Linked DNA regions of Ovis aries. The protein of the gene in region 7 interacts with the protein of the main gene of each other region in a biochemical or structural test. Links are inferred from orthologs where the notes say so. Each region holds a gene or a part of one and is shown on either strand. Other genes may lie near its edges.

What was found.
Region 1: of the proteins of UBE2E1 (region 7) and UBA1, one has a biochemical effect on the other in vitro, tested with the Homo sapiens proteins (9 studies listed by BioGRID, with this or other methods). The link is inferred for Ovis aries from reciprocal best matches to the Homo sapiens genes UBE2E1 and UBA1.
Region 2: the proteins of UBE2E1 (region 7) and TRIM32 form a complex in vitro, tested with the Homo sapiens proteins (2 studies listed by BioGRID). The link is inferred for Ovis aries from reciprocal best matches to the Homo sapiens genes UBE2E1 and TRIM32.
Region 3: the proteins of UBE2E1 (region 7) and UBR7 form a complex in vitro, tested with the Homo sapiens proteins (2 studies listed by BioGRID). The link is inferred for Ovis aries from reciprocal best matches to the Homo sapiens genes UBE2E1 and UBR7.
Region 4: the proteins of UBE2E1 (region 7) and IPO11 form a complex in vitro, tested with the Homo sapiens proteins (2 studies listed by BioGRID). The link is inferred for Ovis aries from reciprocal best matches to the Homo sapiens genes UBE2E1 and IPO11.
Region 5: the proteins of UBE2E1 (region 7) and UBR5 form a complex in vitro, tested with the Homo sapiens proteins (2 studies listed by BioGRID). The link is inferred for Ovis aries from reciprocal best matches to the Homo sapiens genes UBE2E1 and UBR5.
Region 6: the proteins of UBE2E1 (region 7) and TRIM23 form a complex in vitro, tested with the Homo sapiens proteins (4 studies listed by BioGRID, with this or other methods). The link is inferred for Ovis aries from reciprocal best matches to the Homo sapiens genes UBE2E1 and TRIM23.

What each region holds. Positions count from the first base shown.
Region 1 is NC_056080.1:57,606,877-57,609,604, forward strand, and holds part of UBA1 (ubiquitin-like modifier-activating enzyme 1), read right to left. Parts: intron 2,665-2,728; coding exon 2,469-2,664; intron 1,746-2,468; coding exon 1,671-1,745; intron 1,552-1,670; coding exon 1,362-1,551; intron 218-1,361; coding exon 129-217; intron 1-128. UniProt on the Homo sapiens protein: Catalyzes the first step in ubiquitin conjugation to mark cellular proteins for degradation through the ubiquitin-proteasome system.
Region 2 is NC_056055.1:7,072,622-7,076,775, forward strand, and holds the start of TRIM32 (E3 ubiquitin-protein ligase TRIM32), read right to left. Parts: upstream 2,801-4,154; 5' UTR 2,752-2,800; exon of another isoform or gene 2,597-2,751; intron 2,558-2,596; exon of another isoform or gene 2,446-2,557; intron 2,435-2,445; exon of another isoform or gene 420-2,434; intron 1-419. UniProt on the Homo sapiens protein: E3 ubiquitin ligase that plays a role in various biological processes including neural stem cell differentiation, innate immunity, inflammatory resonse and autophagy.
Region 3 is NC_056071.1:55,650,637-55,654,683, reverse strand, and holds the start of UBR7 (putative E3 ubiquitin-protein ligase UBR7), read right to left. Parts: upstream 2,801-4,047; 5' UTR 2,746-2,800; coding exon 2,596-2,745; intron 710-2,595; coding exon 576-709; intron 1-575. Other genes in the region: EKC/KEOPS complex subunit GON7, read left to right, coding at 3,000-3,207. UniProt on the Homo sapiens protein: E3 ubiquitin-protein ligase which is a component of the N-end rule pathway. Recognizes and binds to proteins bearing specific N-terminal residues that are destabilizing according to the N-end rule, leading to their ubiquitination and subsequent degradation.
Region 4 is NC_056069.1:17,077,668-17,081,167, reverse strand, and holds part of IPO11 (importin-11), read left to right. Parts: coding exon 1-19; intron 20-1,686; coding exon 1,687-1,879; intron 1,880-2,775; coding exon 2,776-2,928; intron 2,929-3,500. UniProt on the Homo sapiens protein: Functions in nuclear protein import as nuclear transport receptor. Serves as receptor for nuclear localization signals (NLS) in cargo substrates.
Region 5 is NC_056062.1:74,932,615-74,936,624, forward strand, and holds the start of UBR5 (E3 ubiquitin-protein ligase UBR5), read left to right. Parts: upstream 1-1,210; 5' UTR 1,211-1,730; coding exon 1,731-1,792; intron 1,793-4,010. UniProt on the Homo sapiens protein: E3 ubiquitin-protein ligase involved in different protein quality control pathways in the cytoplasm and nucleus. Mainly acts as a ubiquitin chain elongator that extends pre-ubiquitinated substrates.
Region 6 is NC_056069.1:14,078,188-14,081,687, forward strand, and holds part of TRIM23 (E3 ubiquitin-protein ligase TRIM23), read left to right. Parts: intron 1-1,071; coding exon 1,072-1,196; intron 1,197-3,500.
Region 7 is NC_056079.1:41,469,256-41,473,197, reverse strand, and holds the start of UBE2E1 (ubiquitin-conjugating enzyme E2 E1), read left to right. Parts: upstream 1-1,142; 5' UTR 1,143-1,305; intron 1,306-2,200; 5' UTR 2,201-2,233; coding exon 2,234-2,385; intron 2,386-3,942. UniProt on the Homo sapiens protein: Accepts ubiquitin from the E1 complex and catalyzes its covalent attachment to other proteins. Catalyzes the covalent attachment of ISG15 to other proteins. Mediates the selective degradation of short-lived and abnormal proteins.

The DNA.
Region 1 (2,728 bases), on a different chromosome or scaffold from region 7:
CGCGTAGCAGGCCCATGATCCAATCCCACAAAGGCCTGGGGCTGCCTCCCGATCCTTAGAAGCCTGTTCTGTCCAGCCCACCTATGCTTATCCCATCCCCACTGCCTGCTGGGGCCCCCACCCAGCACCTTCTCAAAGTCGATAGGGTACATCTTGAACCCAGGGAGCTTTTCAGGACTGGGCAGTGTGGCCTTGAGTTCTTCCAGACGGCTGTCATCTGCAGGGAGAAAGGGACACCATCAACGCTTTAGACCCAAGGCCAGGGTCTGAGGTAGAAACAAGGGGGGCAAAAGGTGTTTAGGGAGACAAAGGATTTGAAAAGGAAAGACATCCTGGGAGAGACGAGGGACAATGGCAAGAAACAGTGCAGGACAACAGAGTACAAACCTGAAGAAGATTGGGGCGGGAAGGGTGCAGTGTGGAATATCAAGAGAGGCAAGAGAGACTAAAGAAACGAAACAAAGACATTAGGAGAAAGTGGGGATGGACAGATAAGGATGGGAGAGCAGTAGATCTCAGGGAGAATGATGCAAAGAGGTGGGGAGACATGGAGGATACAGGGGAAAAGGGCAGGGGAAGATATACAGAGAGGTAGTTGGGAGAAGTGTGCAGATGTGGTTAAGATGGGAGGACAGAAGATACAAAAAAGTAGAGAATGGGGCATATATAGAGGGTGAGATAGGTGAGAAGACTGTATACACCCTATATATACTCTATATACACTCTGTCTGCATGTATATTACACACACACACACAAAATGTTTATACACATTTTACATGTACCTGTAATGTATGTTTTATACAAATACATGTACATGTATATGAGGGAAAAGATGAAGGAAATATGGGTGAAATGCAGAAGCAGAAAAAATATACAGAGAGGATCATGAGGGGGTAGATATCTGGGAAGAAGATGGGAGACATGGGAGAAAATAAAAACAGCCACATTCATTCATCGTGTATGGCTGCTTTTGGGCTTCAACTGCAGAGATCATTAGCTGCAGACACTACATGGGCTAAAAGAGTCAACTGCTTGGCCCTTCACCCGATAAAGAGCATGAGCTGGGGGAGAGAGATGGGCAACTGGGGTGGAAATATGAAGAAGGGGATGAGGAAAACTATGTGGAGGGTAACATCACAGAGAAGACACACACGGAAGAACATGGGGTGAGAGGATGGGAGCAGATACCAAAGGAGCAAGACCACTGGTGGAAATCACACCTTCCAGATAAACAGATCAAGAAGGAAGTCTCAGGACAGGGTTGCACAGTAGTGCCGGGGCAGAGAACTGGTGAGGAGGCTGCACTGGGCAGAGGACCAGTGGGGCAGTAACTCCTGGCAGAGGGGCCAAACATCCTCACCCACAGAGGCATTGGCGCTCTGCAGCTCCTGGTCAGAGACATGGATCTTGACTCCAGACTTGGGGGTGAACTCGGGGACCTGCACGGACTGTAGGAGCATGGCCACAGCAGCTCGGTCCTGAGAGCCTGTCAGCCCGTATGTCTGGGCGAACAGGTTGGCAGCAGCTATCACGTAGTCCAGATGAAGGGGCTGGGAGAAGGCAGGGCCCAGAAGGGTGAGCACATCTGCCCTCACCTGGGGAGTCTTGGCCTCCTTCCCTCCCACCCACTCTCCACCTGACCCTAGGAGACCCCAAGGAGGAGACTTACATTGCTGACATCAAAGGTGAGTGGGTGTGGACAGCGTTTGGGCCCAGACCAGAATGGAGCTCCTGAGCTTGTGAGCTAAAGAAGTGGAGAGATTTTTGAGGAGTAGGATCTAAAACTGGAGCCTCTCCAGCAATCCTAACTTCTCACCTGGCCCTTGGGTGTGCCCTATTCACTAGCCCTGGCTGGGCACGCATGGCAGGGGATGGAGTCAATCATGAACAACCCAGACAGTAAGGGTCCTGTGAATGGAAGTTCTGATGCCAGGGTGAACTAGGGGTGTTGCTGAAAGAACTCCTGGCACTCACTCTGTGCAAGACACAGCTTAACAAACTCTTTGAACTGTCAGGTACTATACTGAGTTAATATTAACAAACACTAAGAAATCCTCACAAGAACCCTCATGAGGTAATTATTACCACCTCTACTTTACTGACAATGAAACTGAAGTATACAGAGAAGCTATGTGACTTGCCCAAGTGCAAATGGTGCTTGGAGTTGAACCCCCGCTGATTTCCTGAGCTCTTAACTCCAAGATTTCTCCTCTATGATCGCTACAGTCCTAGGAGGTGGATGAGTCAGCCCACCCCACAGGTAAGGGAAACAAAAATGAAAGTCTCTTGCTGCAAAGAAAGGGGATGGCAAAAATAGGTCAAGTTTAATCATTTTTCTGAGACTCCCCACACCTTGGGGCATATGCCACAGCTGGACTAATCTCCAGGAGGAGCCAGAGAACTCACAGCAGGCTCCCCTTATGGAAAAAACACATTCTGCCAAATGGACCTGGCAAGTGGGCGTTACCTGATCAGGAGGGAAGTTGTGTAGCAGCTGCCGGATGTTGTTAGAGTACTGCGTGTGCCAGTGGTGGCAGGCCCAGGTCACACAGTCAGCCCAGGTCTGTGGCCGCTGCAGCACGAGACTGCGCTGCACAGCCTCCAGCACCTCCAGGGGTTGGGTGCCCGCCAGTCGCAAGGTCCGCTCCACAAACTTGGAGTCTCTATCAGGAATTGGGGGGGGGGTCAAAGGGGTAGGATTACACAGCGGCCTCAGGAGTGGGCTCC
Region 2 (4,154 bases), on a different chromosome or scaffold from region 7:
CAGAACAGGAGTTACTTTCCAAAGTAGGGGTGCCATCAGCCTCGGCGGCCCCTGCTATGAAGTGATTTTTCTAGCCAATGGCCTCTGTACCTCATCCTCTAGTTTCTTGCACCTCATCCTGTCTGCCAACGATAAGCTCCTCCCCTTATGTACCCATGGGTCCTGGTCTAAGAGCAAATCAAGAACAAAGTCCAGGGCTACTCCCTACCTAGTCAGATGGACTTACTCCCTTTAGAGTTCAATTTGATAGTGATACAGACTGGGCAGTCCTTTCATGAAAGAGTGAGCAGGTCCCAGCAAAGAAAAAGCAAGGAAAGAGAGAATATACCAGGTTACAGAGATCTGAATATGAGCCTACTTTTGCCCTCTCTAGCTATGGAACCTTAGACAAGTCACTGCCTTAGCCTTAGTTTACTTACATGTAAAACTGAATACTGTAGCTTGCTTAGTAGGGCCGTTATGAAAATTGAGTAAAGAAAGCAGATATGAAAGTTAAAAACTACTAAATCAGTGTGCACTTACTATGCACCAGACACTAAGCATTCTAATTTACTTCATTATAGATTACCATCACAGTAATCTATGACATAGGTCCTGTTACTAAACCTGTTTTACAGATGAAGAGCCAAGAGTTTAAGTAACTCACTCAAGATCACACAATCAGGAAGAGATTGAGCCAAGATCTGAATCCAGGATATGTGACTCTAGAGCAGAGTGCCTCAGCTTTGGCACTGTTGACATTTTGGGCCAGATACTGCTTTTGTTGTGGAGGCTGTTCAGTGCACTGTAATATGTTTAATAGTATTCCTGGTGTCTACCTATTAGGGGCCAGTAGTACTCCACACCCCAAAAGTGACAACCAAGAATGTGTCCAGACATTGTCGAATGCCCCCTGGGGGACAAAACCACTGCCAGTTAGGAACCATTTCTTTAGAACTTGGCACAGGACTAAATACTCAATGCATCTGCTATCCCTTGTTCTTGTCTCCCAGTTCAAACACCTCATTCACAGAGCCACTGTTATGCACCTTCTGTAGAATTCATTCTATCTACTTATATAACTGCTAAGGAAGATAAGACCTGACCTCACGTTCCACTCATACCCTGGAGCTCTCACACACTCTCTGTCACCACAGCTTGGAGGGACACACCAAGAGGAGCTTGGGCAGATGACCTTGAGTAGTCTCCTGCTTTGTGACTGGCCATTCTCTTTTTCTCTGAAGCCAACCATTTTCAGTGGGTCCACGTTCAGAGTGGAATGAGTAGTCACACCAAGGCTGCTTCATGATGAGGTGAAGTGAAAGTCACTCAGTCATGTCCAACTCTTTGCGACCCCATCGACTATACAGTCCATGAAATTCTCCAGGACACAGTGCTGGAGTAGGCAGCCTTTCCCTTCTCCAGGGGATCTTCCAAACCCAGGGATGGAACCCAGACCTCCCACACTGCAGGTAGATTCTTTACCGGCTGAGCCACATGATGAGGGATGTCTGGTTAACAGGTGAGGGAGATTCTGCCCCTTGCAGGGAAACTCAGGTTCCATCAGGAGTCCTGATGGCAAAGAGTGACGACTTTCTTGCTGAATCCCTGAACTCTGCAAAACTTCGCACACTCATATAGTTCCATAGATTGCTTCTAGGTCTTTGGGTCCCCAGAACTCCCTTTGCTTCCTATGCAGAGACTTCAGGAAAATTCCTTTCGCAATCCAAGACACCCATCTGTAACTCTATTCAGTCTCTTAATTCTACAGACCAACCAGTACCTCTCCACCCCACCGTTCCACCCTTGCTAAATCTTGTTCTCAAGTCTCCTAAGAATCCCAGCCTTGGGGGCTCTTCATTGCAACCCCCACCAACTCCTCCCTCATGCGTACCAGAATCCCCCAGACAAAGATCCTTTCATCTCTTTCCAAGTCGCTGCAGCCTTCAGCCCTGTATCGCAGTTAAACGCCCCATCCCACACCTCAGATCTGTGCTCTCCCTCAGTCTGAGCCCCCACCCTCTGGGTGCCATCAGGGACCCTGCCCCCCTTCACACCCCCACCCCCAAACCTTGCTCCTTCCTCTTTTCCCCACCCATGTCATGTGTCGCTTCAAACCTCAGGCAAGTGTCTTCTTCCTGCTTAAGAGATCTTGCTTCTCACTGATCCCGTCAAGAATTCAGCCCGTCGATCTTCCTCAGATTCCACTCGGGGAAAAAACGCTTCCTCCTCGGCAATTAGACTAGCCCCGGGCTCTGCTCCCTCTGATCTCAGATCTCACCCCGCTCAAAGCCTACTGCCCCCAGACTCTCTCAAATCACCTGAGATTCTGCACCCCGAATCTCATCGAGGCTCCCCAGTCCCTTCATACTGCCGAGATTCTGCACCCCTGATCCCTCCAGAGCCCTTGGGTCCCCTCCCATCTCTCAGATGCTGCACCCGTCTCCCCTCAGGGCCCCACATTACCTCATACCTCCCGAGATGCTGCACCGCGAATCTCGGAGCCCCTCGCTCCCCTCCTGGGCTGCATCTCCTCCGAGGCCCTCAGCCCCCTCGAGTTCGCCCCGAACCTGCATCTAGCAACCCACCCCCGGCGCCCCTCCCCACATACACCCACCACGGTCCTGCCCCTCAGATCCGGTCCCCCAGGCTCTGCCATTCTGGCGTGGACCGACCGCTGCACGCCGTCACAGCCCACCGTCGCGCCGCTCGGCCACCGCCCGCGACTCCGGCCGCGGTCCCGCATCCCCCACCCTCCATCCCGCCCCCTACCTGACCGCCCGCGGCTCCGACGCGTCCGCCGCTGCCAGCCCACCGGCCCACCGCCCTCTGCGCACGCGCCAACGTTAGCCCTTTTTGCGGGCGCCAATTCGTAGAGCTGCCTGTCCGTCACTGCGCCCCGCCCACCCCAAGGCATGCTGGGGGTTGTAGGCGGGCGGACCCGAGCTCGCGGCCCAACGACCAGGTAGCGGTGAGCTAATCAGCCGCAAGGAGCTAGGTGTCTTGAGGACACGCATTTCAGCTTTCTGTCCCCGTTGTACGGTTGAAGAAACCGAGGCCCAAGTTCACTCAGAAAGTCGGGAGCTAAACCGGAACTCGTGTGTCTGAGTGCAGTCTGTGTCAACCCCTTCGCTAAACCGAAGCTGCCAGGAGTGGTCCTCAACCAAGCCTTGGCATCTCTCAGAAAGACCTCTCTCCACCTCAGCTTTGCCATCTGAGAAATGGGCCAAGGAAAGACTACAACGTTCACACATTCACTCTGGGGCAAGCACAGAACCTGGCTGCGCTTAGAACCATAGTGCTTCTGGGCTCTTCTCCCAGTGACACAGTGCAGCCTAGAGATAAGCTTATCTGATGAGCAAATTGCCTTTATGAAGGATTCCTACTCCTGCTCAGCTGGGAGGCCGACAGGGGAAGTAGAGGTAGGAACACTCTCTGCAATCTATCCCTGCAGATTGAAGCTTCCCAGGAGCCTAAACCCAAGTCTAGTTTTTGGGCAGCCAGAAAAGGGAAGAGTCTTCACAGGTGAGAAACAGTCTAGCCTGTTGGCTGGTGAGGACCTGTAGCCCCTGGATAGTTTGGGGTCAGCTATAATCCCCGGCAGCTCAGCGGTAAAAACTCCCCCTGCCATGCAGGAGAGACAGGTTCAATCCCTGGATTTGGAGGATCCCCTGGAGAATCCCCTGGAGAGGAAACGGCAACCCACTCCAGTATTCTAGCCTGGGAAATCTCAGGGACAGAGGAGCCTGGTAGGCTACAGTCCATGGGGTTGCAAGAGTCAGACACGACTTAGCAAGTAACCACTACTACTACCACCACAGGTTCCTGTGGGTGACTATACAGTATGGCTTAGGAATAGGAAGAGGTTGGAAGGAGGATGGGCTTGGATTTGACATCCAGGGTAGGTAAAGTGACTCTTCACAATGAGAAAGCAACAACCACAAACAATAACCTAAGTGTTGTGCTGCCGTCAAACCCTTCACATGCACAGTTCACTTAATCTTCCCAGTGACCCTGTGAGGTAAACAACTGATGCCCAGGTGATTAAAATAACACGGCCCCATACTCATAAGCATAAAGCCTAGATTGGAACCTGATTCTGAGAACCCTGCCTCTTAACCATGATTAATCTCTCTGCCCAATTCTTTATTTCTAAGTGAAAATGACATTTGCTG
Region 3 (4,047 bases), on a different chromosome or scaffold from region 7:
AGCCAATTTTAATTTTTCTTCTAAGTCTAAAGACTACATTCATATCATAGCCTCTTCCCTTTCAATTAGCTTCTAGGATCTAAAAATTGGACTTGGTTGTTGTTCATGTATCCAATCCGCAATTTTCCCAAGCATATTACAATAAAAGATTTAATAATTCTATAAATTAACATGTGTGTGCTGTGTGCCCAGTCATGTCTGACTCTTTGTGATCCCACGGACCGTAGCCCACCAGGCTCCCCTGTCCATGGAATTCTCCAGATAAGAATACTGGAGTGGATTGCCATTTCCTTCTCCAAGAAATTAACATGCATAAAGACAAATATCTGTATCTCACACACACACATAAAACAGTGGAAGGATAGCAGGAGTAGTCTGAGTTTGCCTCATAATTATATTTTAAAAGGTCCCCTGGAAAAACTGTTCTTTCCGATTACATTATATAAAACAGTTGCATTAAATTTTACCAGGGCACAACTACTTTGAATGCAAAAACATGATTAAGAAAAAAAGTGCAACTGGAAAAGAATCTAAACATTTGAAAAGCATCCAGCATCAATCTCTGACCAGTTTACCTTTTCGTGTACAGCTCAAATAGTTTATGACTTCCATGACATTCGTAACTGCAAGCCAGGCAAATTCCTGCCGGTTCTTCTCCCTCTGGAGTGCAGGTACTGCAGGCATACAGTGCTTGTCTCTTTACTGAACCCTAAAGACAGCCCCAAAATGGAAAAAGACCGGAAACTGATGAAACACTGGCAGAGCAACCTAATGCCCACACTATGATCTGAGAAATAACTGAAATCAGATGATCTGGGGTCAAGATCTTCCTGTAAAAGCCACTGAGACTAATAAAAAAGCATATACAATAGAATACCAAAACACTGTTGCAGGTTTCATACACGTTTCATATAACTTTTTCTCAAAGTGATAGAAGTTAACATTTTTAGTCAGCTGTGAATAAACCGGTCTGCTTAACTATTTTAACACATGAAAATACAGGAGAATGTGTGTAAGCTTATGTAAGGAATAATCATACTTTAATTTTGGAAAATGCTTGTGATTCCACCAAAGAGAAAACCAGTGCATTAAATGAATCCCTTTGATTTTAAGATGTATGCTGACATATTTAGAGTTGAAGTGTCATGGTCTGAAATTTATTTTCAACTGGTTCAGGAAACAAAAACAAAGTATATTACAGTGAAGAAGTAAAAGATAAAACAAATGTGGTAAAATATTAAAAAGTGAATATATGTGAAGGTACACAGGTGTTCATAATATTATTTTTTCATTTTAACTGTAGACTTTAAACATTTCAAAATAAAAAGTCGAGAGAAAAGCAAATCCTGATAATGGCTGCCATCTTCTGAGAAGAAGGGAGTCCCAGGAAAGCTTCTGTGATGCTGGTAATGTTCTATTTCTTGATCTGTGTGGTATGTACCTGCAGGTGTTTTCAGTTTTGCTTTCCCAAGACTTATACATGGTTTCTGCACTTTTCCACATATTTTACAACAATACAAAAAAATTTTTTAAGGAAGTCTGTTTTAAAAATCTAACTACGTTTCAAAAATAACTTACAGGCTTTTTTAAAAAAGGCAAACAGAGAAAAAGTTGTTCCAGTGGCGACCAAAGGTTTTAAAATATCAGCCAACATTAAATACCTCTGAAGCCAGGTGTATTAAAAAAAAAAAAATCTAACCACTTTGCAGTGTAAACTCAACTGGTCATTGATAACAACTGGTATTGTGATCTCAAGCAACACCACGTAAAGACCCCATGTCTCTCTCCCCATCCTGCAATGTTCCACTCCACCTGCCTGGAAGATAACCTTCTTCCTATCAAGTACCATCTCTCATTAGTTTTCTTCTACCACCTTTCTCCATTTTTGAACCTAGAAACATAGAATGAGTCACCAAACACTACGTCACACCCCCTCCAGTCCTTGTTCCCACCATCTTCCGAATGCCATCTCTCCTCCCCTCCTTTCCTTTGCCAGTGCCACCAGCTGTTCGGGTTCCGGTCTATGCCCCTGGAGGGCCGACTGCAGAGAGACGTGGTACTTGCTTCCTCTCGCCAAAAAAAAAAACCAGCTAGCACCTGTCAAACTAAACTGCAGAGGAACCAGCTGTCCAGGAGTCCAGCCTACGCGGAGAGATTTTCAAACCCAGAGCTCTCTCCTTTAATTATTTGACTCTTCCGTTTAGTACCCAGCAAATACTCTGAGGATGGGAAAAGTATGGACAAAGATACTCAGGATGTGAAAGGTCACGGGGTTGGTTTGGTGAAAAGCGGCCGGGGCACAGAGAAGAGACGAGGAAGGAAGGAAAGAGCAGCTGCTCTGGGGCCAAAACCGTAGAAACGTCGGGGGCCTGACAGAGGAAAATCGAGAAAGGAGGGGCGTCCTGCTGGCCACAGGTTAGAAGGGGCTCAGAAGACTAAGTGTAAAAGGGCACCTGGGCCTGGGATGGGGAAGCCTACGACCAACAGCTGCGCTGGACCACCACAGGGGGCCGGCCGCGGCCGGCGGGAAGAGAGAGGGTAAGGCGGTGGGGAAAGGGAGGTTCAGCGGAGGCGAGGGCCGAGCCGCGCGCCCACCTGCGAGTAGGAGCACTTCTCCGAGTCACTGCCGCCCAGGACGGCGCAAGCCTCATTCTCCAGCTCCTCGTCCTCCTCCAGTACATCGACCAACGATACCACGGGCTCCAACTCCGACTGTCGCCCAGCTGGCTCCTCAGCTCCAGCCATCCTCAACTGTCACCAGGACCGCCGACCGGCCCCGGCGGAGGCGGGAAAAGCGTCCGCGAGGGGCGGGGCCGGAGGAGGCGGGGCCTCGGTGCCAGACACCAATCCCAAAGACAGGGAGCGAAGGAAGGGGGAGGAGCGACTTCCGACAAACGGAAGTCAGGCCTCTCCCTTCTCCGCGCCTGCGCCCGCGGCGGGCTGGTTTCCGTTTCCGGTGGCGACTCACTGTGGCGCGCTCCTGAAGCGTAGCGGTCGCTATGGAGCTGTTGGGCGAGTACGTCGGACTGGAAGGGCAGCGACAGCAGCTGCGGGTGCCTTGTGAGGCGCCGGGCGTCACCGACCCTTTCCAGAGCTTGTTGTCCGGTGTGGCTCAGATGAGGGAGCTGGTGACTGAGCTCTTCGGCTCTCAGGTACAGCCGGAAGCACAGGACCGGGGGACGGCGGCTCCCGACGAGGCCTTGGACGGTGAGCTTTGAGACGGTTCAGCGAGTGACAGGAGGGCGGGCAGGGGCGCCCGGAGAAATTTGGGCTGTACCTGGACTCGTTTAGCAGGACTGCTTTTGACGATTCTCTTTTCATTTATGTCACACAAAAAACGTACTGAACGCCTACGGCCCTGTGCCAGTCACTGGGCTGAACTCTGGAGAAAGAATGACGTGAATGCGACTCAGTTCCTGTTCTTGTGGAACTCTGTGGGAGGTTAGACAGACAAACATTCTTATTAAAGAGTAGAAGGAATGACCCTAGGCTTCTTTGTAACTATTGCAAACCTAGAGAACCCAAGAAGGCTTCAGAAAGAGCATGACTTCTAAGCTGGGCTTAGAAGGATGGAAAGGAATTTTCCCAGGCGTGAACTTACAAATATGTTTGGAAGACCGCCATCTATTACAGAATAGAAACAGGTTCTGAAGATTGGAATAGATTTCAGATGAACAAGGCTTCACTGTCAGGGACTCCTTTCATTTCCCAGTGTGGTAGGTGCAGTTTGAAAGCAGAAATGGAAATTTTAACTGTATTCTTAAGTCTTGTCTTGAATACCCTGAGCTGAAGAACCTAAGAACTAAATATTGGAATCAGGGCTTACTTCCCCTATTGTTGTTGTTGAGGTTCAGTCGCTCAGTTGTGTCCAACTCTGCAACTCCATGGACTGTAGCACACCAGGCTCCTCTGTCCTTCTCTGTCTCCCAGAGCTTGCTCAAATTCAGGTACATTTAAACTGCAGTGCCATCCAGCCATCTCATCCTTTGTCTCCCCCTTCTCCATCTGCCCTCAATCTTTCCTAGCATCAGTCTTTTCCAGTGAGTC
Region 4 (3,500 bases), on a different chromosome or scaffold from region 7:
CATTCTTTTTACTAAAGTGGTAAGTTTTTTTTTTTTAATCTTAATTATGTTTTCTCAAGTGAAATATAGATACTTGAATTTAGTAAAGAAAGTGATGTTTTTTAAGCATACATTTTTGATTTAGTGTTAAAGTAACTTATTTTCTTACTGTGTACAGGAAAGCTAAAAAAGCCCTTTGTATCTTAAAGCCTTTAGAATACATATAATGGTTAAATTTATATATACCATATGTCAAAGTGTATAAGTCACCTGGATATAAAAAAATCCATCCTAATAAAAGAGAATTTGATTCCTCAAAGTCTCATTATTCTCAAACCCACTGGAAAAAGCAGAGGTAAAAAAGATAGTGCAGCACAGCATAAAGTAGGTAAGATGTTACAGTAGATAATACCAAAAAATCAGTATATTCATAATGATAGTTTATCATCATTAATATCACATATCTTTTGAATAGAATTGTATGGGTGCACTGTCTGAGGCAATATGTATATATTTCAGATAAAATTATTTTATAAAAAAAATAATAGACAGTCAAATCCACAACATGGAAAACTCTACAGGAAATGATCTGTTACCTCAACGATGTGGTCACATCAGGCCTCATTCTCCCATAAAAAGTTCCCATTTCGACAATAAAAAGTTCGCATGTTTTAAAAAAAAAGAATCGACACTATTGAATCCTTATTCAACTACAAGAAATTTGTGAGGGAACTTTCCTGGTGGTTCAGTGGTTAAGAATCCCTTCCAATGTAGAAGATGGGGGTTCAATCCTTGGTTGGAGAAGTAAGATCCCATATGCCACATGGCATGGCCAATTAAAAAAGTAATAATTTATGAAGTTCATGTTTATAATCTCATGACTTTATTAAAGCTTTTAAAATTGGAACATTTTATATGTGCCTCCAAATAGAATGTGTTAACATATTCCTTTGTTTCTAAATCCCTTCTCCTCCCATATTTCTTAGAAATTTCTAGTTAGAGAAGAAACTTGATCACATTCAGGCCTTTCTTCTTGTTTTAATGATGGGAGGGAATGGAGTAGGGTGACAATGACAGGAATATTTTACAGGTGATGCTGTGTATTTCCTATTGCATCGCACCAGGAGATGCACAATGTCTGATTGCTCAAAGTTGTTTATTGAGTTATCCATTATTCAGTTCTTCAACAGCCTTTCCCTTGATTCTAGCAGCCATCGATGATCATGGCTTAGATCTTTTGTTTGAATAGGGGTTACAAAATGATGGCATTCTACTTCTATTAATATTATTCCTTTTACATTTATTAGCTGGAATTCTTCTATATAGAGGAAATCTCTCTCATCAACTATTTGATACATTGACATGCAATTGATGCAGGATACATTTTTGATTATTTGCCTTTATTATTTTTTAAAGGCCTTTCTTGTACTTTTGGTTATCACATTTGCTGGTTGATATAGAATTAAGTATGAAGTAAGTTTATTTTGAATCTTGTAGTAGAAGTAAGAGAAAGTTCAGGTGATGAGATACAATCTGATTTATTTCACATTGTATGGTATACCCCAGGGAGTATATTACCTGTGAAACTGGACTTCCCACAAGGTTCCAAACTTGCTAAGTGTTTGTTACCAGTTATTACATGTACCTATGAATGATTATATTCCTATGTGAATTTGAAGAAAATATATAAAAATTTTTTTCTTATAGCTTTTGGACTTCTTGGATCAGCATCCCTTTTCATTTACTCCTCTAATTCAGAGATCACTGGAATTTTCTGTAAGCTATGTGTTTACAGAAGTTGGTGAAGGTGTTACATTTGAACGATTCATTGTCCAGTGCATGAATCTTATTAAGATGATTGTCAAAAATTATGCTTATAAGCCATCTAAAAATTTTGAAGGTAATGCTTTACTGGTAGTTTTATTTTTTTCATTTCCTTGTTTTAATCTTAGTGTGAAGTAATTGCTATTTTTATGTAAGTTTTTTGAAGTTCATTTAAGTCTGAGAAATAAACTATTGCTGGGACATGAAATAGAGATAAGGATTAGAGCTTTTGGTATATAAATACCAGCTTTTAAAAGACATACAGTGCATTTAGTAAACTACTGTCTTTTGTAACACAGTGGAACATCAATTGAAGCCTAGGTCTTTTAAGAATTAAGTACTTCAGTAACCTCTGTAGCTCATTTGTAGACTGTATTTATTTGTACAATTAAAAGTTTTCTTTTGATCATATATAAAGTGATTCTAGGCAGATTCTATTGCTTCTAGAATAGGTTAAACTGTTATATTGCAGTTGACCCTTGAACAGCACAGGGGTTAATGAGTATAACTTATAGCTGGCCACTATAAGTGAATATGGATTCACTGTTCCTGTGCATCTGGGGATTCATCTAACCGTGTACACTGTAGTTTAGTATTTACTGTTGAAAAATATCTGAGTGTAAATGGACTCACAAAGTTCAGGGGTCAGTTCTGTTTGGAATTCATTCATGTGTATGTTTATCATGATGAATGAGAATGTCGTGTAGAAGAGAAAGAGAGACATATAGGTAAGCCACTGCAGAATATGATGTGATGATATAGGATGGAAATGGACTAGCCATAGTGCTAAGGTAGAAGCAAGACTGATGTGTGTGTGGTATCAGTAAAAGCAAGAGCATCTTTGAGATGTGTCCATAGTACAAATGAAAATATACTGCTATTTAGAAGGTATTCTTAAGTTTATTTGTTTCACTATCCAGCATGGGTAGAATACTTGTCTGTATAATTAACTTGGAAATTTAATTTTTCTAGATAGCAACCCTGCAACTCTGGAAGCTCATAAGATTAAGATGGCATTCTTCACATATCCTACTTTGACAGAGATATGTAGAAGATTAGTCTCTCACTATTTTCTGTTAACTGAAGAAGAACTGACAATGTGGGAAGAAGACCCGGAAGGCTTTAGTAAGTGTCAGTTTTTCAGTGTTTGCATGAATTTTTCCTCCCTTTCATCAATAGATATCATGTATTTGATGATAGGTATAATAACATTGTATTTTAATGTAGTGCTTTTGTTCTGAGAATATAACTTCCAAAAGTTAGTTTATTCTGTCTTTACTAGCCATTAGTACAAATTGAGAAGCAGAAAATGAATGACTTGTTCAACTAAACGGAATTTTTTCCAGAAAGATAAAATTTTTTAGAGTTATATAGTTTAAAACAAAAATATGAAATTAATTGTCTTTCTCTGTTATCAGATCACTTTCTCCTCTGTGGTTCATTCTTTATTAATTTTTATTTGTAGAAATTTTTACTTCAGAAAGTAGTTTGGAGATGAAAATTTTTCTGAATTGCTGAATGGATTACCTATTTAAGATATTTTAATTTAAAATTAATTTTTAGATGATTAAAATATTTCTATAGGACATGTATTTAAAATATAATTTTATTTTTAAATTTATTTTACTTTTGGTGGGCTTTTCTCTAGTTGCGGAGCGTGGGCTTCTTACTGGGGAGGCTTCTCTTGTGGAGCCTGG
Region 5 (4,010 bases), on a different chromosome or scaffold from region 7:
CCCCACGAATTTCTAATAGAGGCTTTGAAATCACTTTTTAGTCTAATCTGGGCCATTTTGGAGCTGGTGACCTACAAAAGTGTTCCATTATCTGTCTCAAGGGGTACCTACTCTATCCTGATTTATAAATAGTCATATATTTTGTTCAAAAGAACTTCTAAGCAAGTGCGTATGTGTAATGCAGTAACAGAAGAAAAGTGATATTTAAAATTAAGAACGTTTCACAGGACCCTTAATTTAACGGAACATACTGGAGAAAGAGGCTTCGTGTTTTCACTTTTTTTTTCTTGAAAGAAGTACTTGATTTTTTTGAAGGGGCCAGAGAAGCCTTTGAGAAAAAAATCTATTAACTGGTTCCCTAGAAAAAGGCAGATCTATTTAAGAATTAGCCCTTATGATCCCACTGATCATAAGCTGAAGAACGAAACATCTTCGATGAAACTGATATTTCATCTTTCATTTAAAAGAATTAAAAATTCATGAGTCATTTAAATCAGGAAATCGGTGGAAATTTCCACATTTTGTCTTTGTGTGGATACGTGATGGTGGCGGTTGCGTGGGGGTGGGGGGTGGGATTGGGGAAATCAGGGTGATAAAAAGAAGTTGCTGCAAAGTCAGCTCTATAATCCTACGATTGGACCTTCTGGAAAGGCCCTTACATAACTACCTTACTTCTCCAATAAAACGCTGTCCGTTTCTTGCCCCTTAACAGATTTCTACACTTCCACTTTAAATATAACTGCGGATGTGAAGGACGAGAAACAACAACAGAAAACCCCTAAGGGTCCGCAAAATAATTAGGGCTGCCCCAAGAGAAATCAGAGCGCGAGACTGGAGGAGCCCCTGTTCCCTCCCACCACCACCGCGCCGGGGACACACACTTAGCCTCTCTCCCGGACTCCCCGCCCCAGCCGGCTCGCCCCTCCGCCTCATCTGTCCCGAACACGTGCTCTCCGGAACACTCACTCGGGAGCGAGCCCACCCCCCCGGGGGGGGGCCGGGCTCGGGAGCCGAACGGCCCAATCGGCGCGCGCCTTACAGCGCCGTGGCTGAGCCGCCCAATCGGCAGGGCCTCGCCGCCCGTTTCCCGGAGCCCCGCCCCCTCGCGGCCGTGCCCCACGCCCGCCGGTCTCCTCCCTCCTCCTCCTCCTCCCGTTCGCCCCTCCCCCTCCGCTCGGGAGCGGAGCCTGCGAGACGGAGAAACTGGGGCAGAAGTGAAGATGGCGGCGGCGGTGCTGGTGGTGGCGGCGGCGGCTTCTTCTCGCCAGTGACGCGCCGAGCGGGCTCATTTCCCTCCCCACCTCCCTAGTCCGGACCCCGTCCGCCGCCGGGACCACACACCGGCCCCACAGCCCGCAGCCCGTCCCCCTCCCCTCCTCAGTCGGGCCCCTCTCTCCCGACGTCCGGCTGCCGGTGGCGGCGGCAGCGGCGGCGCGCCCCGGGTCCCGGCCGCCGGCCTCGCACTCCTGCGCCCTGTCGCTGAGGGAGCGGGGTGGCGTGTTGATCCGCCCTCCTGCCCGCCCCGCCGGACCGCCGCGCCTCGGACACACGCCCGGCAGGGAGGCGGCGGCGGCGGCGGCGGCGGCCCCTGCGCATTTGCTTCTCTCATTTGGGGACCGGGAGGCGGCGGCGGCTGTGGCTGTGGGTTTTGACGAGGGGAAGGGGTTCGGGGGTGGGGGGAGCCGAGCGGGAGGGGGCCGTCCTCGAGAGGACGACGAGAAGGAAGCACCATGACGTCCATCCATTTCGTGGTTCACCCGCTGCCGGGCACCGAGGACCAGCTCAATGACAGGTAATAGGGCCGGCGGGCGGGCCGGCCGGCGGGCGGCGGGGGGAGGGGCGCCTCCCCGCCCTCCCCTCCCCCACGGGGCCGCGCCGGACCGGCGGCCGGTGGGGAGGGCGGGGGTCCTCACTGCCCCCCGGCTAGGCCCCTTCCGGGGCAAACTTCTGGTCCCAAGGACCGGGGCCGCGGGGTCGGGGGGGTGTGGGGGGAAGCGAGCTGTGGACGGGGAAGAGCACTGCACCCTCTAACGCCCCCTGGTCCCCCCGCCTCCACGGAGGAGCCGCGTTCAACTCGGTGGGGGCGGCGGGTGGGTATCCAGCTCCCGGTGCGGGGAGCTTCATCACCGCCCGGGCCAGGCCCGAGGAATCCATATTAGTCAAAGTTGAATTGAGACAGACAATGCGGATGGGGGATGGTGGAGGCTGAAAAAAAAAAAAAAGAGGGAAGCGGAGGAGCCGGGCGAGGGGCCCCGGGGTAGGCTGGGTTCGCCCGGGCTCCCGGGAGCTGTGTCCGGTGGGGTGGTCGGACCGGCGGGGGCCTGGGGCTCCTGGGGGAAGGGGAGGCGGGGCGGGGTGGGGTCGGGGGACCTGGGTGGGAGAAGCTGATTCCCTGCAGATCGCGGGTGGGGTGGCGGGAGGGAGGAAGCGCCATGATTATTGTTATTATTATTAAATTTGAGCCCCTGCAGTGAGGTTTGCCGGTCCGGGGAGGGGATGAATTTAGGCGAGGGTGGGGGGCGGGGAGGGAAGTGGATTGGGTTCCCTTTGCTCTGTTTTCTCTGGAAACGGTGCTGGCAGCTCCTGTTTCCCAGTCCCTGTGGTGCGAGCTTTTTTGTTTCCTTTTTTTATTCTAATGATAGTGTTTTCCTGAGTTGTAATTTGACAGCTGAAAACCGTGCGTAGAGTCAAAGGAAAACTCTTACGTTTGCAGTTCGCAGTGCTGCTTTTCTTAACACGCTGTAAATTTCTGGGATGGGTTTTGCTATGGGCGGAGGAGGCATTATGATTTTTTTTTTTTGGTCTTTCATAAGGAGGCTGTTTTGACTCCGGATTCCTCCCCTTCCCTCCTCCACCGTTCCCTGCCAGTTTAGGATATTGAATTGCAAGGCCGCATGCTCTCAGGGAACTGAGATAAAGCAGGAAAAGTTCCTTCACTGTTGCAAAACAGAGATTCCGAAAAGGTTGAGGGAAACCTCCATTAGGCAAGGCTGAGAATCTAGGACTCAGATCGAATGATGGGCTAAATGTTTTACAGGGTCAGAAAGTGGGGCATTTGAAGTTTCTATACCAACACTTTCGCTGCTCTCTCTTCCTCATAAATATAGAAGGCCGTCAGGGCCCACGTTTAGAAGTTAGATATGATTTTTGTTAAGTGACCGGGTGACATAAATTGCATGAAGCCCTGTTTGTCATGCACTTCCCTGAGGGAGGAGGAGGCCTAACTTCTGCTGATATACCGGCCTCTGTTTCGGGGAATCTAACTGCCTCAGGTGGGGCGGACAGCCTTTCAATCCGGGAAGCTGGAGGCTTGGTTTCTGGCATTGGGTTCGGATTTGTCTAATCTTTGCTGTTGTAGCCATATTGTATTTCACATGTTTGTAGAACTTTTGGAATACTTTCTCAAAATACTAATCATTTGGAGTGGTCACATAGTTCTTTTAAGTACGAAAATAAGTTTTAAGTCATTTATTTTATAATGCAGTCTTACTCCGATTTTATTTCATTACATATCTTTTGTTAAGACTTTTACATAAGGTTTTTTTTTGGGGGGGGGGGTAAATTTTAGAACCAGGCTAGTAGTGAGGATAGCTGTACTGTCTGTCATTCATAGAATCCAGTTGGCCGTGCTTGTGGGGGAACTTGTTACATTGCACCAGAAGAGACATACACGGTGTATTTTTTATACTAGTCCTAACTTTATATACCAGGAATCCTAACTAATTTACTCAATTGATCATGCATGCCAAAACCTATTTTGCGGTTTTGTTAGGCACTTTGAATAATTTTTGAGCATTCTTTTTTCAGCTAGTCTAGAAATTTACATGTATCCTTTTTAAAGCTACCTTTTCTTTTTTCATTCTTGGTGTAAACAAATAATCAGCTTTGACTCCTGTACTCTCAGTATACAATATTGAGACTATTTGGATCATTTTCAGTTTTCATGAGAAATAAAGACAGGTGGTTTCGAAAATGAGACTGTAAAATATGTGCATCAAGAATGTAGTAGA
Region 6 (3,500 bases), on a different chromosome or scaffold from region 7:
CATTTATCCCATTATAACCTCTCAATAGCTCCACTCCTTTATTTCCATTCACAATTAGTTATCATTAGCAGAAGAACCCATAGTGGTTTGATTTTAACCAAACTGTTATGTGACATACATTCCACTTAGCATTTATTCACATAAATGAATTGTACATTTTGCCTCCTGTACCCCAGCATAAAGCTTATATTCATACTCTCTGTTCCATATATCAAGCTGTTTTCCACCTAGAAGAAAGACTAGATAATTTTTACTTTGAAATTTTTGATATTAGGTTAGTATGAGCCAGTGATTAAGGGGAAAAAATGGAATTTTGAACATGAGGAATGGTTGAAAGCCTAGGATGTTTAGCTGCCATTAGATAGCTGGAAAGGAGTTGACTCATTGGAAAAGACTCTGATGCTGGGAGGGATTGGGGGCAGTAGGAGAAGGGGACGACTGAGGATGGGATGGCTGGATGGCATCACGGACTCGATGGATGTGAGTCTGAGTGAACTCCGGAAGATGGTGATGGACAGGGAGGCCTGGCGTGCTGCGATTCATGGGGTTGCAAAGAGTCGGACACGACTGAGCGACTGAACTGAACTGAACTGAACTGAACTCATGAAGTTTCTGCTGTGTATTTTGAGTAAAGTTATGGAAAGTGCTGTGCCAGGCACCTAAAGAGAATACCTTGGAGAGATAAAGTTGGTAACTTATTTATTTTTAAAAGACTATCTTTTGGTAAAGGAAGTAGAGTGATCAAAGTAATCAAAGAAGTAGCATCAGTAGGTAGATCATGAGAGGTACATTTTCATTCATTAAGAGAAAAATATTAAATTGTATGCAAGGCAATATGTGTTTGGTAGTGCAAATGTTGTAAATCCTGTTATAGATGGCAAAAAAATAGACCAAAAGTTAGGTGAACTGCTTGAGATCATATCATTAATTATTGCTAGATGCTCCTATAACAGGCAGCCTTCCTGTGAAAATAATGATGGTAGACTCACCATAATATAACATTAAAATATTTAGCCCACTTACTGAAATTAAACAAATGACTAAATGAATATTTTTGTCTTTTTTTGATAGCTGTTGTATTTGTTGTTGATAGCAGTCATAGAGACAGAGTTAGTGAAGCACACAGTGAACTCGCAAAGTTGTTAACAGAAAAAGAACTCCGAGATGCTTTACTCCTGATTTTTGCTAACAAACAGGTAATACATTTGTATTTCAGAATATTTATTTTAGCATTCCACATTATAAGGTAACTGTTAAGATTTTGAGAGAAATAACTCAGTAGATATAAAGTTTCTGCACTGTATTTTGAATGCAGTCTATATGGAAGGTGCCATACTTGGTACCTTGGAGTATACAGAAAGAAATAAGGTAGAAACTTGTATGTATTTAGGTTTGCATGTTAAGTGTTTATTTCTAATACTGCTAAGTGCAGATTAATAAGACTGCTAAGTGACTTCAGTGATATTAATATAAAGTATTATGGAAAATTATAGAGTAGTTCTAAAGGTTGTATTTTCTAAGATTTATAAAAAGTAGGATTTGAATTGAAATTATAGATAATACTTTGAGTTAGTATTTGAAGGAAAGAACACTACAGACAGAAAAAATAAAAACATGAGTATTTTTAGAGAGCATCATGGAGACCAATATGCCAGCAAATTTGAAAAATTCAGCAGTGTCCACAGGACTGGAAAGGTCAGTTTTCATTCCAGTCCCAAAAAAGGTTATGCCAAAGAATGTTCAAACTACTGTATGGTTGTACTCATTTCACATGCTAGCAAGGTAATGCTGAAAATCCTTCAGGCCAGGCTTCAACAGTATGTAAATCGAGAACTTCCACATGTACAAGTAGGATCTAGAAAAGGCAGAGGAACCAGAGATCAAATTGCCAACATCCATTGGATCATAGAAAAAAAGGAAAAGAATTCCAGAAAAATATCTCCTTCAGTTTCACTGACTATGCTAAAGCCTTTGCTGTGGGAATCATAGCAAACTGTGAAAATTCTTAAAAAGCTGGGAATACCAGACCACCTTACTTGTCTCCTGAGAAACCTGTATCAGGACAAAAACAGTTAGAACCAGACATGGAACAACAGACTGGTTCCAGATTGGAAAAGGAGTACGCCAAGCTGTATGTTGTCACATCATGCGAAATGCCGGGCTGGATGACTCACAGACTGGAATCAAGATTGATGGGAGAAATATCAACAACCTCAGATATGCAATAGCAGATATGCAGATGACACCACTGTAATGGCAGAAAGCAAAGAGGAACTAAAGAGCTTTTGATGAAGGTGAAAGAGAAGAGTGAAAAAGCTGGTTTAAAACTCAACATTCAAAAAACTAAGATCATCACTTCATGGCAAATAGGGAAAAAGTGCAAACAGTGACAAATTTTATTTTCTTGGGCTCCAGAATTACTGCGGACAATAACTCCAGCCACAAAATTAAAAGATGCTTGCTCCTTGGAAGAAAAGCTATGACAAACCTAGATGACTTATTAAAAAGCAGGGATAGCACTTTCCTAACAAAGGTCCATATAGTCAAAGCTATGATTTTTTCAGTAGTCATGTGCAGATGTGAGAGTTGGACCATAAAGAATGCTGGGCGCTGAAGAACTGATACTTTCGAACCGTGGCAGCTGAAGATTCTTAGATTTTGAGACAGCTTCTAGGAGGATAAGAATGCTTTTTTTTTAATGCAATAAAGTGGCTTAGATGTCATAAGAAGGAAGAGTTGGATAGACGGTAAGGATTTTCCCCTTAATTTGAAAAAAAGGCAAGCTATTAAGAGCTGATACACTTCACATTATGATTAAAGATATGCAAATAAGGCAGAGTGAAATACCATTTTCCACTTATCATCTTGTTAAAGATGAAAATGTTTGATAATCCTAGGCAGGATACACTGCTGGTGTGGTTATTAATGTGAGACATTTTCTTGGAGGGCAATATGGCAGTACTTTGTCAAAGGTTTCGATGCATATACCCTTTTACCCTGTAAATCTCTAGTAATGTATTCTGAAGACAGTTACCCTAAGGTTGTCTTAGAGATAATTTTGCAAGTGTATGTATTTAAAAATATGTTTACATCCATGTGTATGTATATGTAATAGCACATAAGCACATATTTTCAATTTAAATATTCAGTATAAGACTGGTTAAGAAAATTATGTTACACCTGTTGCTGCTGCGGCTACTAAGTCGCTTCAGTCATGTCCGACTCTGTGCGACCCCATAGACGGCAGCCCACCAGGCTCTGCCGTCCCTGGGATTCTCCAGGCAAGAAACTGGAGTGGGTTGCCATTTCCTTCTCCAATGCATGAAAGTGAAGTCGCTCAGTCGTGCCCGACTGTTAGCGATCCCATGGACTGCAGCCTACCAGGCTCCTCCGTCCATGGGATTTTCCAGGCAAGAGTACTGAAGTGGGGTGCCATTGCCCTCTCTGATGTTACACCTACAGTGGAATGCAATATAGAAGTTAAAAATACTGGTGGAAAG
Region 7 (3,942 bases):
AAGTTGGAGTTTCCTGTTGAGGGCTCGGAGGGGTTTAGGTGGGTGGTAAGAACGCTTGTTTTCCTGGTTAGCGGATACGCCTCGGGCTTTATAAATTGTGTTGTACTGTGGTAACTGCAGCCACACTGCTGCCATGGGAAAGGACGGCAATTTGGATGAGATAATTCAGTGGCCCATGGAAATCTGACTGGACAGTGGCTTAATGTACTACACTTCCTACCTGTAACATCATACCTATTTCTTCAATTTCCTTCAATTGAAATGAGGAATAAATGTGAAACATAATCAATTTGATGGCTTGAAAAAAGTAATCTTGTTAAGAATACTAAATGAACAATTCAGAATTAGAGGGACTTTTAGAAAAATTGTATGATTATTTGAATGGCGTTTGTATTGTAGCTGAAGAATGTACAGCGGTCCCCCAAACTTTTAATCCAAATTCTGACACCAAAAATTCTAAATCCAGTCTAATGCAGTAGTACAGAGTGTATTCCCATTGATTTCTCACATTCGTGAGACTGTCACACGTTGGTTGGTTTTTTCTGTCACGAAATTCTTTGTATCACTTTTAGAAAACACCACCTCTGTCTATAAAAATGACTGGAAATACCTAAAATTGTAAAACGGCACGTGTCTGGGCAGAAAAGTCCCGTTCCTCACAGGCGAGCCTGCACCTACTTCTGCTCCTAGCAGGTAAACCGTCAGAGGGAGAAGCCAGGTCAGCCCATAGGAAAGCCTGTCGTGGGATTTCTCATTTCCCCTTAGGCTGATCACTTTTAGGAGCAGTTCCCGGGGCCATTCTCTCGTCCAAAGTCCTGGCTACCGGATCACCTGTTGTTTTTTTTTTTAAACCAGTCGGCCACCCTCGAGTCTCCCTGGCAAAAGCCCCTCGCGGGAGGACTTCCTCAGGTCACCTCCCCACTCGGAGCAGTTCTCGGCACCCGCACCCACTCCCAGCGCGGGCGGGGGCGGGGGCGGGGTCCCCAGGCCACGCGAGACCTCGGCCCCCCGCCCGGCGCCCGAGGTGCTGAGGTGCGCGCTGGGGGGAGGGCGCGCGTGCGGGGGGAGGGGCGCGGGGCGGGGCCTGCGCGGGCGGGGGCGGGGCCTGCGCGGGGCGGGGCCTGCGCGGGGCGGGGCGGGGCGCGGGCGAGCGTGTGTGGCGGGGGAAGCCATTGCCTGTTTAATAGTTGCTGCTGCTGCACTTCCGCTTCTCTCCCGGCGAGAGAGAGACACGAGTGGCCAGGCCCAGCCGCAGCCGCAGCAGCAGCCGCCGCGGCGGCACGGAGCAGCCAGACACAAAGAGAGGTACGGGGATCCCCCGCGCCGCCCGCCGGCCCCCGGCCGCGCCGCCGGGCCTCGGGGCCGCCCCTAGCCGCCCGGGCGGCCGCCGGGCGCGGGGCCGGGGCTGGGGGACGGCGGGGGGCCGGGCCCGCCCGCGGGGGGATGGGCGGGGACCCCGGGCCGCGTGGGGCGCGAGGGCCGCCCGCGGCGGGGGCGGGGGGGGGCTGCCGGGGCTCGAACTGTCAGCGCGGCCACGGGGGGCTCCCGGGGCCGCCGAGGCCCGTGGAGGGGGAGGGGAGGGGCGCCCCGTGTCCCCGAGGCGGGGGCCCGCGGGGCTAGCTCCCCAGGGCGGCCGCGCTCATTGTTACCCCTCCGCCGGGGAGGCCCCGTACCCCGACCCCGGCGGCGCCCTTGCCAGTGCTGGGACCCCCGCCCGGCCGCGCCCCCGGGGGCCGGCCCGGGACTGGGGGGGGGGGGCCTGGCCTCGGCGCCCCCGCCCGCCGCCCGGCTCCCCACCACCCACCGGCGCCCGCTCCCCGTCCCCGTCCCCCCTTTCGGCTTCCTCCCTCGCCCCTCCCCGGCCTCCCCGCCCCGCCGAACTCCGTTCCCGGCCCCCGCGACCCCCGGGGGCCGCCGCACACCAATCGAGGCCGGCCGGCCCGGCCCCCGCCCGGAGGGGAGCCTCGAGGGCGGCGGAGGGGCGGCGCGCCGCGCTCCCGGCCGGTCCCCACCGCGGCCCCCACTCGGGGCCAGGAATATAGACAAACAGCCCGCGTCCGACTCGCAGAGGCCGTGATGGGCCTGGAGATTCGGGAAAGCGCGTGGAGGGCGGGGGGGCGGCCGGGGCCCGAGCCCTCCTGACAGCGCCCGAGTTCCGTGTCTACACCGGCCTTTCTGTTTTGTCTCCCTCCTCCTGCAGGGGCTGTTTGCGGGGTGGGGCGGGGGGTTCGCTATGTCGGATGACGATTCGAGGGCCAGCACCAGCTCCTCCTCGTCTTCGTCCTCCAACCAGCAAACTGAGAAAGAAGCAAACACCCCCAAGAAGAAGGAGAGCAAAGTCAGCATGAGCAAAAACTCCAAACTCCTCTCCACCAGCGCCAAGAGGTACCCAAACCCCACCCCCGCCCCCCAAAGCAGGCTTCCTATTGCCCGCACGGCCTCCGGTTGCATTGGGTCCGCTTCCAGTGAGGGTAGCTTACACGCTCCTCAGGGCTTATGTGTTCATAAAAAGGGAAAAAAGGACCTTGAAAGCCCGAATTATTTCTCTCTCTTGCTGCTTCTGTTTTTACTTCTGATCATTGTCTCCATGCAGCTGTTGTGGCTTGCCTTCCCCGTATCTTGCTGCAGTTTGTAAGAATCCGCATGAGTGTTACTAGTGACCTCCAAATCTGATTTCAAATTATTTGTCCTGTTAATCACTAATCTGTGACCCTCCCCAAGACTGTCATCCCACTTAATTATTAATACCTGCCCGGACAGCTCTATCACGACGATTTCTATCTCTGTCTTACTGCCTTCTCACCTGTTGCACATAGGATCTCTCTTTGAATAGTGCTTTCTCCACACATGGCGTAAGGAATAACTAACTCACGTTAGCAGAGTGAAAAATTTAATAGATGGAGATGGATGTTTTCAGATGGGATTTAAAGAGATTTTTCTGATTTAGAGAGTTGAGGCAAATTAATGAGTCAATAAGTGATGTAAATTAGTTATTCTAGGCTGTTTTGGGGATTCTTTGTGTTTTTTTGAGAACCTCCACTTAAATTTCCGGGAAGCTCAAATTTTTTTTCATGCTGTTTTCTTTTATGCTGTAAACAAAACAAAAACACTTTTGTCAACACAAGTTGAATTCAAGCAGTAGCTCTTTTTCTTTTTTCTCTCCCTCTTATGTCTCTGATAGAAGTTACTTTTAATCTCCATCATCCTTCAGTAGTATCCTCTGATCCTCACGAGCCTTAGTCTACAGCAGATTCCTTGGAGCCTCCATTCCTTTTCATAAATCCGGTTGTCCAGTGTACAGTCATTAAACTTTAAAGTGGCAAACCAGGAAGATAATAAGGAATTGAAATGGTAGCTTAGGTAAAGATGTCTGTCTTAAAAGATCGTTAAAAAAATGGAACAGGAGGCTTTAAGTCTCTCCACTGAGTAGTGAGCCAAAACTTTTAGTTAGAAAGTTTGTCCTGTCATTTTCCCTGAAATTTGGAAAGTTGATAAAATGCTTTGGTGACCTAAGCACAGGAGATGAAGAAAAGACTCTGGCTTACTGTAAACAGTGTATATGTGTAGAGTTACGTGGCAAGGTGCCTTGGCAAGATTCTCATTTTCAGCGAGGTTGTTTGATCGCATCTCAGCTTCCCAGGAGTCCTGAGCGGCCCTCCGCTATCAGCCCTGTGCTGGTTCTCCCCAAGCCTGGCATCTCCCCTGCCTGCTTTGGATGGACCCTTCTCTTCATTCCCCCTCCCTTTTTCTGGGCTCTCTGATCCAAGCTGAGGGCAGCTTTTGGCCTGACCTAAGGCAGAATATTTGCGTTAGTTCATTAGCACTTTTATATTTTGCTGGATTACCCTAGTGTCCAGGAATATATTTGGGGATAAAGGCACAGGTGTCAAATATAAAATTGTCTGCTTTATGTAAGCAAATTAGAGACAGTTTTTTTTCTTC